Linked DNA regions of Canis lupus familiaris. The protein of the gene in region 1 purifies or fractionates together with the protein of each later gene. This does not show direct contact. Links are inferred from orthologs where the notes say so. Each region holds a gene or a part of one and is shown in the gene's direction. Other genes may lie near its edges.

Region 1 (3,500 bases):
TGTAAATTATATTGGTAAGTATAGCTCATTTACTGACTGAGGTTTAAAACTGAAATAATACAATTTTGACTTAATATGGTTAGTAGAAATGGTCTTTTGGTGTTTCTGTTCTGTATCTCATACTTCTGGTTTTTAATTATGATGAGAAATGAATTTATACAGATTGGAAGGTGAAATAGTAGATTTCAAGTCATCTCTAGATCCCTCATTTGGAAGAAGACTTACTTTCTGCAGGATAAGGCTCTCACAGAAGAATGAATCTCCACTATTAATTAAGCCTGCTTTCTAGTTGCTTTATGTAAGCGTGTTCAGATACTTCATTTTATATGAATACTGCTTAACGTTCAAATGTTTTCATTTATCCTGTGAGAATTACTCTTTTCTTTGGAAGAAGTGATTAGTTTCTGTATACCCAAAACTAAAATTAAAGCATAGTATTGTAAAATCAAGAACAAAACTGGGCAAAGGGCTGAAATCATGTAATCTTTCCTTTTTGTTAGTTTTTTTTAAACAACAGCTTTAAATTTACAGAAAAATTGAGACACCTGGGTGGCTCAGCGGTTAAGGTTCTATTTGCCTTTGACTTAGGGCATGATTCTGGAGTCCCGGGGTCGAGTCCAACATCGGGCTTCCTGCATGGAACCTGCTTCTCCCTCTGCCTATGTCTCTGCCTGTCTCTTCTGTGTCTCTCATGAATAAATAAATAAAATCTTTAAAATAAATAAATGAATAAGTAAATAAATAAAAAGTAACTTCCCACCTCTTTTCCCCATCTTTTTACATATAGTACGGGACAGCAAAATTCAGCTTCCAATTATACAGCTGCGTAAAGTATGGGCTGAAGCAGTGCACTATGTGTCTGGGCTGAAAGAAGACTATAGCAGGCTCTTTCAGGGACAAAGAGCAGCAATGTAAGTGGATTCTGTTGTTTACAGGTGCAATGTCATGTGCATTAATGTTCAAGAATTAATCTTGCTGTTTTCACTAATCAGTATTCCACGCAATACTGAAATATTGGACTAATCTGAAATATAATATTCTCACCAGACTTAAAGAATTCTTACTAATGGTCTGAAACCATCCAATTGCAACAGCTTGAGAGTAGTTCCTGAGCAGTCCTAGTATAAGAAGATTGTTTTATCTTAGAATATCACAGGTAGGGAGTCTTCAGAGACTAGATTCTAGTCTAAACTATTTCTCACAGATTGATAATAGAAGCTTAGGCTTTGGGTTTATGGCAGTTTAAGCTATTAAATTTTTGTTCACTGTTTCTGAAATACTAATTTTTTTTTTTTTTTTTTTTGCTATGGTTTAGGTTAAGTCTTCTTAGATATAACGCTAACCTGACAAAAATGAAGAACACTTTGATCTCAGCATCTCAGCAACTGAAAGCTAAATTGGAGTTTTTCCACAAAAGCATTCAGCTTGACTTGGAAAGATACAGTGAGCAGATGACTTATGGGATATGTGAGTGTTTGGGTAACATGTTTGAAAGAAGTGTTGAATCTCTTGAAGCCATCTTCTGTTTTGCCTTCTTGCCTCAGCCCATTGTTTCATTTATATTAACATTAGAGCAAGAGATAGGTTGCCTCAAGACCTCATAAACAGTGTTTGTACTGAATAGTAGCTGCTTTTAACCTTTATATTAGCAACTTTACTTCCCCACAATTGAACTATAATTGGACTAGGATGGTTTAGCTTCAGAAAAATTCAAAAGCAATTTAAGAACTTTTGATTTTCAAGTCTCATTTTTGAAATAGAGGCGCCTGGGTAGCACAGTTTCTGTTTGACTCGTGGTTTCAGCTCAGGTCATAATCTCAGGGTCCTGAGATCAAGCCCCACATGGGGCTCTGTGCTCAGCATAGAGTCTGCTTAAGACTCTCTCCCTCTCTCTCTCATACCTCCCCTCTGTACACAGTGTCTCTCACTCTCTCTCAAATAAGTAAATCAATCTTTTAAAAAATAGATACAAAGTCTGTATTGGGATGTCTCCTTAACCAGGGAAGTCTTAAACTACTTATCTTACTGTAAATAATAATACAAATAATTCCAGAGTTTTTTCTTCCAAACCACCTACTGTGGAGTCCCCCCCCCCCCCTTTTTTAGTATGGTACACAGCCTCCAGTTTTCAATATTTGACTCTAAGCTCTCTCCTTTCAGATGTATTAAGGAAATGTAAGATGCAGATTTAAAATTCAAATAATAAGCTGAAGGGGTCACCACCAATATTTCTGTTTTCTGTCATAAAACAAATTATTTTTTGGGAAACAAATCCTATTCGTATAACTTGTCTTAAGCAAAGTGTATGTGTAACAGAATAAATGATCAGCAGTATCCAATTGGGTAAGTTTACCCATTAGGACTGGTTCTATGATTGATGTTTTATTTCTATTTTTGTATAATAAGCATTCTAATGAATGGCAGAACACTGTAATTATTTCACCAAATTATCTTTGACTAATCAGCTGTTAAAAAGGAATGACACAGACCTGTGTACTCATACTAAAGGATCACTTGGGTCTTTAATGGCAGTGATGTATTAAAAAAAAACAGAGAGAAAAGTATATAGAGATAGTCTCACTTATGAGGGAAAAGGGTATGTGTCTATGTAACAAGTGATTAACAGTAAGATCCTTAGAGTGGAGGGGACAAAGAGAGAGTCTTTTCTTTTTATATCCTTTTATAGTATTTGATTTTTAAAAAATCATGTTCATGTATTACTTTTCCTTTTTTTTTTTTTTTTTCATTTTTTAAGAGAAAACTATTTATATTGGTTTCTTAGGGGTGCTGTAGCAAGTTACTATAAACTAGGTGGCTTAAAGCCACAGAAATTTAAATAAATAAATAAATAAATAAATAAACAAATAAATAAATAAAACCATAGAACTGTGTCACAGTTCCAAAGGCTGAAAATCCAAATCAAGGTGTTGGCAGGGTCCATGAACCCCCTGAAAGCTGTGGGGAAGAATACTTCCTAGCTTCTTCCTAGGTTCTCGTGGTTTGCCAACAGTCTTTAGCTCCTTGGCTTACAGCTGTAGCACTTTAATCTATACCTCTGTCGTCAAAATAGAGCTCTCTCTTCATGTGTTTGGGTTTCTCATAAGAAAACTAGTCATACTGGATTAATCCACCCTACTCCAGGATGATCTCATCTTAATTAGCTAACTGCAACTGGCAGTGACCCTATTTCCAAATAAGGTCACATTCTGAGGTACTGAATTAGGACTTCAACAAAGCTTTTTGGGGGGACAGTTCAATCTATAACACCATTTTTGATGATGATATGGCAAGGAAGTGGATAGGTCAGTAATTAAGGCTATAGCTATTTCTGAGATAACCAATTAAGACTTTTTTTTTAGCCTCAGAAAAAATGTTAAAAGCATGGAAGGAAATGGAAGAAAAGGCTATCCACTATGCCGAGGTAAAATCACTAGCTCACTCTATATGCTTATTAATTCCTGAGGTCTCTCATAGAAGTTGTCTTTGGTTTCAATATATAG
Region 2 (3,500 bases), on another chromosome or scaffold:
GAGTATGCGACTCTTAATCTTGGAGTCATGAGTTTGAGCCCCACGTTATGTGTGAAGATTACCTAAAAAGAAAGAAATAATACATAAATAAATAAATAAATAAATACAGGGACACCTGGTGACTCAGTGGTTAAGTGTCTGCCTTCCACCCAGGGCGTGATCCTGGAGACCCCGGATTGAGTCCCGTATCATGCTCCCTGCATTGAGCCTGCTTCTCCCTCTGCCTTTGCCTGTGTCTCTGCCTCTTTCTCTGTGTCTTTCATGAATAAATAAGTAAAATATTTAAAAATAATAATAATAAAGTCCTTTAAAATAAATAAATAAATAAATAAATAAATAAATAAATAAATAAATGATTACAAAGAGAGAAAAGTACTTATACAGTGGAGAACTCTGGCTGCTGAATGAAATACTCAAATTTAACATGGCTAATAATGAGATAAACTGGTCACATATGCCTCCTAATCTGATAGAGACTGGGGGGTGGGAGGAAGGACACCTGGTTATCTTCTTGTCTCATTTCCAAGATAAATTTTCTTGCCAGCTGGAATTTGAACCCAACCTTGTTCCCTAAGTGAACCCCAGAAAGGGAGAGCAGGTGGTCCAGGGCAAGACACAACACCAGAGACTCTCATCCCACAAACATTTCCTGAGCACCTGCTATGTGCCAGGCCCTTTCCTGGGACAGCAGGGAACAAAACAGATGAGGACCTACCCTCCTGGAGGTGACAGTCTGGGGGAAGGAGGTGGTGAGCTGTTACCCGATTCCCACTGGGAAGAAATGTGAGGCCAGGATCATTGTGAAAACTTTTGGTGGGGGAGGGAAACGGCTTTGTTGAAATAGAACTCATATGCTGGGGGCCCCTGGGTGGCTCAGTCAGTGAAGCATATATATGCCTTGGGCGCAGGTCATGATTTTGGGGTTCTAGGATTGAGTCCCACATTGAACTCCCTGCTCCATGAGGAGTCTGCTTTTCCTTCCGCCCCTCCCCCTCCCCTGCTCATGCATTATCTCTCTCAAATAAATAAATAAAATATATTTTTAAAGATTTTATTTATTCATGAGAGACACAGAGAGAGAGGCAGAGACATAGACAGAGGGAGAAGCAGACTCCCCACAGGGAGCCTGATGTGGGATTCGATCCCTGGACCCCAGGATCATGCCTTGAACCAAAGGCAGACATTCAACCACTGAGCCACCTAGGCATCCCAATAAAATATTTTTTTTTAAAGGAACTCCTATACGGATGCCTGCGTGGCTCAGAAGTTGAGCGTCTGCCTTTGACTCAGGGCGTGATCCTGGAGTCCCAGGATGGAGTCCCATGTCAGGCTCCCTGCATGGAGCCTACTTCTCCCTCTCCCTGTGTCTCTGCCTCTCTCTCTTTCTCTCTCTCTGTGTCTCTCATGAATAAATAAATAAAATCTTAAAAAAAAAACCTCATATACTGTATAGTTCACCTATCTAGAGTGTACAATTCATTGGTTTCTGGTGCATTCCTAGAGTTGTACAGCCATCACCTTAATCTAATTTTAGAACATTTTCATCACCCCCTGGAAGAAATATTGTATTCTTCAGCTACCATTCCCCAGCCTTCCCCCCATTACACCCCCCCTCCCCCCAAAACCACAAATTTCCTTCCTATCTCTTTAGATTCCCTATCCTGGGCATTTCACATCAGTGGACTCATATGATATCTGTCCTTTTGGGTCTGGCTACTTGCACCCAGCAATCATGTTTTCAAGGTTCTCCCGTGCTGTAGCACGTGTCAGATTCATTCATTCCTTTGTCTTGTCAAATAATATTCCATCATTTGGCTATGCCACATTTTATTCATCTGCACATCAGCTGATGGACAGGTAGGCTATTCGCACCTTTCAGCTGTGGTGAATGGTGCTCCCTGGACATTCCCATACAAGATTTTGCATAGACATAGGTCTTTAGTTCTCTTGGGTCCACGCCTAGGAGGGGAATTGCTGGGCCATAAGGAGACTCTGTGTTTCAGTGTTTGAGGAACCACTGGGCTGTTTTCTACAGCAGCTGCCCTACTTGCCATCCCCACCAGCCTGGTGTGGTAGGGATTGGAGGGGATGGAGTGGCTGGGGGCAGCCAGGTGGAAGCCACCATTGGAAGGTGCCCCTTCCCTGCAGGCTGAACTGGAGAATGTATCCGGGGCCCTGAGTGAGGCCGAGTCCAGAGCCATCCGGCTCAGCAAGGAGCTGAGCAGCTCAGAGGCCCAGCTACATGACGCTCAGGTGAGGCCCTCCCCACTCAACCCCCAGCACCGCCCCCACCATGGCTCTCCACCCTCTGCCTTCACCTTATCTCCATTTCCTCCACCATCTGTAGGAGATGCTTCAGGAGGAGAGTAGGGCAAAGCTGGCCTTGGGGTCCAAGGCGCGAGCCCTGGAGGCTGAAGTGGCGGGGCTGCGGGAACAGCTGGAGGAGGAGGCAGCCGCCAGGGAGCGGGCAGGCCGCGAGCTACAGACCGCCCAGGCCCAGGTGAGCAGTCCTGGAGGGAGACCTGGTGGGGCCTCCAGTCAGTCCCAACCCACTCCTCTGGATTCCTCAGCTCAGGGATGGCCCCATTGCCCACCCAGTCCTAGGCCGGACCCCCGGGAGACCCCCATTCTTGTCTCTGACTCTCCCTCAGCCACAGCCTGTCCTTCACCACCCCACTCTGAGCTCCCAAGCCCTTTGTCTTCTCATCCCCATTCCAATCACCTTGGGCTGGAACTCTCTCTGCCCATGGGTCCCCACACACACCCGAATGGGAGCTCCTTGAAAGTGGAACCCATCAAAGTTAGGTCTTGGTCTTCAACACAGGCCAACCTAGAGCCTGGCATATAGGAGGCCTGGAGAAATGTCTGATGAATGAATGAGTGATGACTGCATGCCTCTAAATATCCTTCTTCAACTGGCAGCTTCCTATGCATACTTCAAGATCCATCTCAAATGCCCCCTCTTCCAGGAAGTCTATCTTGAATGTTCTGAACAGATTCTAAATTCCTCCTGTGGGTTCCCATGGCTGCCATGCTGCTTCTCCTTTAGCCTCCACCACCCTGGCCTTGATGCTCAGTCTCCCCCATCAGAATGGAGTCCTCCCCAGGGTGGAGTCCGGGTCTGATTCATCTTCTGGGTCCTGATGGGAGTAATTTTCATCTCCTGAAGAAGCTGAGGTTCATAGAACTCACAACCTCAAGCCTACTCCAAAGCAGAAGAACCCAGTACAACGAGTCCCTTTTCTCCTCAGGCCTCAGGCTCCTTGTCTGGGAAGTAGGGCACTACCAACTCACACCTTGGTCTGGTCACAGCCATGACAGCCACCCACCCTTTCTCCTCATCCCATGCCCCACCCCCAGCTCTCAGAGTGGCGGCGGCGCCAGGAGGAGGAGGCAGGAGCCCTGGAAGCAGGAGAGGAGGCCCGGCGCCGGGCAGCCCGTGAGGCTGAGGCCCTAAGCCTGCGCCTGGCAGAAAAAACTGAGGCGGTGGAGCGGCTGGA
Region 3 (3,500 bases), on another chromosome or scaffold:
GTCCATTCAAAACCTATGAATTCAAGGTATATATATGATTCAAGATCCATCTTGAATCCCCCCACTTCTGTCCCCACCAGACTCTCTAGTTCAGACCATCCGTATTTCTACTGAGGGCTGCTCATTTCCCCATTCACCCTGCAGCCAGGCTGGTCATCCTAATAGACAAGTATGACCATCTGATTCATCTATTTATAATCTTTCCAAGGCTCCCTGGGCCTCCAGTATAGAGTTCAAATTCTTCAGCATGGAATACAAGGCCCTCTCTGGCTTTTCCATCTTTCTCTAGCCTTATTCCTTACCTCTCTTTCTTTAGTCAATATGCCCAGTTATTGAGAACTACGCATAATTTCTAGGATACATCACGATTTTGGAGACTTCCAAGCTATTCATATCCTGCCCCCCTATCCTGGAATCCTGTTCTCTGAGTCCTCCTTCCTGATTTATCGATAAATCCTTCTAGTTTTTTTTTTTGATGCAGCAAAGCCTTCTCTGACCTTCTCATCATGGTTGTGTTAGCAGAAACCTTTGTACTTAATTTTTGAATAACCATTACCAATCTGTATTTTAAGTCCCTCTCAATAAACTTAGTTCTTTACGGGTAAAAGCTGTTCCATGTTCGCCTTTGTATTAAAGTCTGGAGTCTGCCATTGTTTTTATTTGTATATTCTATTCTACCAGGAGGCCACTTTGTTGTGAATTCTTTCTTTCTTCTGCAGAGGTTAAAATGTCGTTTGATCATCTGGGCAGTAGAATATGTCAGTGCCTTGTCAGAGGGTCCTTCTGCCCCTAACAGATGAGGCGCCCGTCCTAAAAGCATACCCTAGGTAGAGGAGATCAGCAGGATTGTCCAAGTTCTGCTGCCTTCCTGCCTAAGACACGCAGGACCTGAGGAAAAAATCAACGTAAATTCTTTGCCTTATAGATGCTATCTGTGAACAGCAGCTGATACTGTGCATTAAATCTGGGAACAGGCCAGATGTGGAGGACATCATTGAGTACTGCCCAGAGGAGATTATCAGCATCATGAAGCAATGCTGGGAGGCAAAACCCGAAATTCGGCCAACATTTGCTGGTAAGAGCATCTTCTGTGACTGTGTACATTGCCAGTGAGGTGACTTTCCTGGTAAGATGTTGTCAGGAAGTTGAAGTGTTCAGAAACCTGAGTTCTACTTGTGATTTCAAATAGACTTTCTAGATTTCACACATTTTGTTCGATGAAAAGATACCATCCCTCTTAAAAATGTGAAGTTATATGAGGCCCTCTTCTTTCTTTTTTCTTTCTTTCTTTTTTTTTTTTTTTTTCTGCATAATTAACTTTTTAAAAATTGTGTTAAGGGCAGCCCTGGTGGCTCAGCGGTTTAGCGCTACCTTCAGTCCAAGGCATGATCCTGGAGACCCAGGATCAAGTCCCACGTCTGGCTCCCTGCATAGAGCCTGCTTCTCTGCCTGTATCTCTGCCTCTCTTTCTCTCTTTGTGTGTGTCTCATGAATAAATAAAAAAAATCTTTAAAAATAAATAAATAAAAATTGTGTTAAAATATGCATAATGCATCAGTTACCATTTTAACCTTATTTAAGTGTACAGTTCAGCGGCGTTGAGTACGTTCACAGTGTTGTGCATCCAGCACCACCAGCCATCTCTAAAACCTCTTCATCTTCCCAAACTGAAACTTCGTATCCATTAAAACGCACCAACTCCCCATCCCCCTTCCCCCAGCCCTGGCAGCCACCCTTCTGACTTTTCATCCCTATGAATTTATTCTATTATTTCTATCATTACATCAATAGGCACGATTCTAGGCACCTCGTGGAGTCATACAGTTTTTGTCTTTTCGTGCCTGGCTTGTTTCACTCAGGATAATGTCTAGGGTTGCTCTGTGCTGTGGTGTGTGTCAGAAGTTCCTTCCTTTTTTTTTTTTTTTTGTAAGATTTTATTCATTTATTCATGACAGAGAGAGAGGCAGAAACACAGGCAGAGGGAGAGAGAAGGGGTGTGTGTGTGTGTGTGTGTGTGTGTATGTATACACACACGCCGCATTTTCTTTATTCATTCATCTGTTGATGGATACTTTGGTAGCTTCCACTGGTCCTTTTTTATTAGCATCTTTTATTTCTTCTCCTTCCCCTTGGGATGCAGACTTCTTTGGAAATGTATATTGTCATTTAGATTAGGCCTGTAGGGCAGCCCGGGTGGCTCAGCCGTTTAGCGCAGCCTTCGGCCCAGGGTGTGATCCTGGAGACCCGGGATCAAGTCCCACGTCGGGCTCCCTGCATGGAGCCTGCTTCTCCCTCTGCTTGTGTCTGTGCCTCTCTCTCTCTCTCTCTCTCTCTGTCTCTCATGAATAAATAAATAAAATCTTTAAAAAAATTAGGCCTTTAATAGAGGGCGAGGAAAGGGGACATGAATGTTTGTCACATCCTTGCATGTCTTCCCATTCCACTAGGTTACCTAGGACCTTGCTAAGATTCTAGAGGCAGAGGAAAGAAAATCAGGTAAGCAAGAAATAAATAGTAGGAAGTCACTTAGGAGCCTATTTCTGCCATGAGAAAACAGAATAAAGCCCCACCCACCACTAGAACCAAGGATTAGAAGGGTACTTTGATTTACTTGCTTGTTTTCCTATTTTCCTAGTCAGCCTGAATCCTCTCCTGACCTGGTCTCTTCTTTTCTTTTATGCCTTTTTCACTTTTTTAAAATTAAAGTTCCTATTTTGAGATAATTGTAGATGTACCTGTGGTTGTAAGAAAAACAGGGGCACCTGGCTGGCTCAGTCAATAGAGTATGCAACTCTTGATCTCGGGGGTTGTAAGTTCGAGCCCCAGGCTGGATGTACAGGTTACTAAAAAATCTTTCTAAAAAAAATAGGGAAAAGAAAAGAAATAACACAGAAATATCCCATATACCTTTTACCTAGTTTACCCCAGTGATAGCATCTGGCCAAACTACAGTATGGTTTTACAACTAGGATGTTGACCTTGATACAGTCAGATGCAGGTCATCTCCATCACCAGAAGGGTGCCTTATGTTGCCTTCTTGTACCCACACCCACTTTCCTCCCCAACGCCACCCTCCTCCTTCACCTCTGTTGATCTCTAATCTGTTCTCCGTTTCTGTCATTTTTTGTCACTTCACAAATACTACATAAGTAGAATCATAGGGACCCCTGGGTGGCTCAGCAGTTGAACATCTGCCTTTGGCTCAGGGCATGATCCCGGAGTCCTGGGAACGAGTCCCACATCAGGCTCCCCACATGGAGCCTGCTTCTCCCTCTGCCTGTGTCTCTGCCTCTCTCTCTCTGTGTCTCTCATGAATAAATAAATAAAATCTTAAAAAAAAATAGAATCATAAAATACTTTTTGGGAATGCTTTGGGTTTGGCTTTTTGCCATTCAGCATGATTCATCCAGGCTATTGTGTATACCAACGATTTGTTCTTTTTATTGCTGAGTAGTATTCCATGGTGTGGATGTACCACAGTTTGTTTATTCTTTCCTCAA

What was found. The genes of interacting proteins can lie anywhere in the genome.
Region 2: the proteins of CHUK (region 1) and MYH14 purify together in Homo sapiens (affinity purification with mass spectrometry; 3 studies listed by BioGRID and IntAct, with this or other methods). This does not show direct contact. The link is inferred for Canis lupus familiaris from reciprocal best matches to the Homo sapiens genes CHUK and MYH14.
Region 3: the proteins of CHUK (region 1) and RIPK1 purify together in Homo sapiens (affinity purification with western blotting; 3 studies listed by BioGRID, with this or other methods). This does not show direct contact. The link is inferred for Canis lupus familiaris from reciprocal best matches to the Homo sapiens genes CHUK and RIPK1.

Annotation. Positions count from the first base shown.
Region 1 is NC_049249.1:13,165,349-13,168,848, reverse strand, and holds part of CHUK (inhibitor of nuclear factor kappa-B kinase subunit alpha), read left to right. Parts: coding exon 1-14; intron 15-787; coding exon 788-911; intron 912-1,315; coding exon 1,316-1,467; intron 1,468-3,359; coding exon 3,360-3,421; intron 3,422-3,500.
Region 2 is NC_049222.1:107,069,771-107,073,270, reverse strand, and holds part of MYH14 (myosin-14), read left to right. Parts: intron 1-2,148; coding exon 2,149-2,253; intron 2,254-2,347; coding exon 2,348-2,500; intron 2,501-3,360; coding exon 3,361-3,500. UniProt on the Homo sapiens protein: Cellular myosin that appears to play a role in cytokinesis, cell shape, and specialized functions such as secretion and capping.
Region 3 is NC_049256.1:4,671,563-4,675,062, forward strand, and holds part of RIPK1 (receptor-interacting serine/threonine-protein kinase 1), read left to right. Parts: intron 1-925; coding exon 926-1,075; intron 1,076-3,500. UniProt on the Homo sapiens protein: Serine-threonine kinase which is a key regulator of TNF-mediated apoptosis, necroptosis and inflammatory pathways.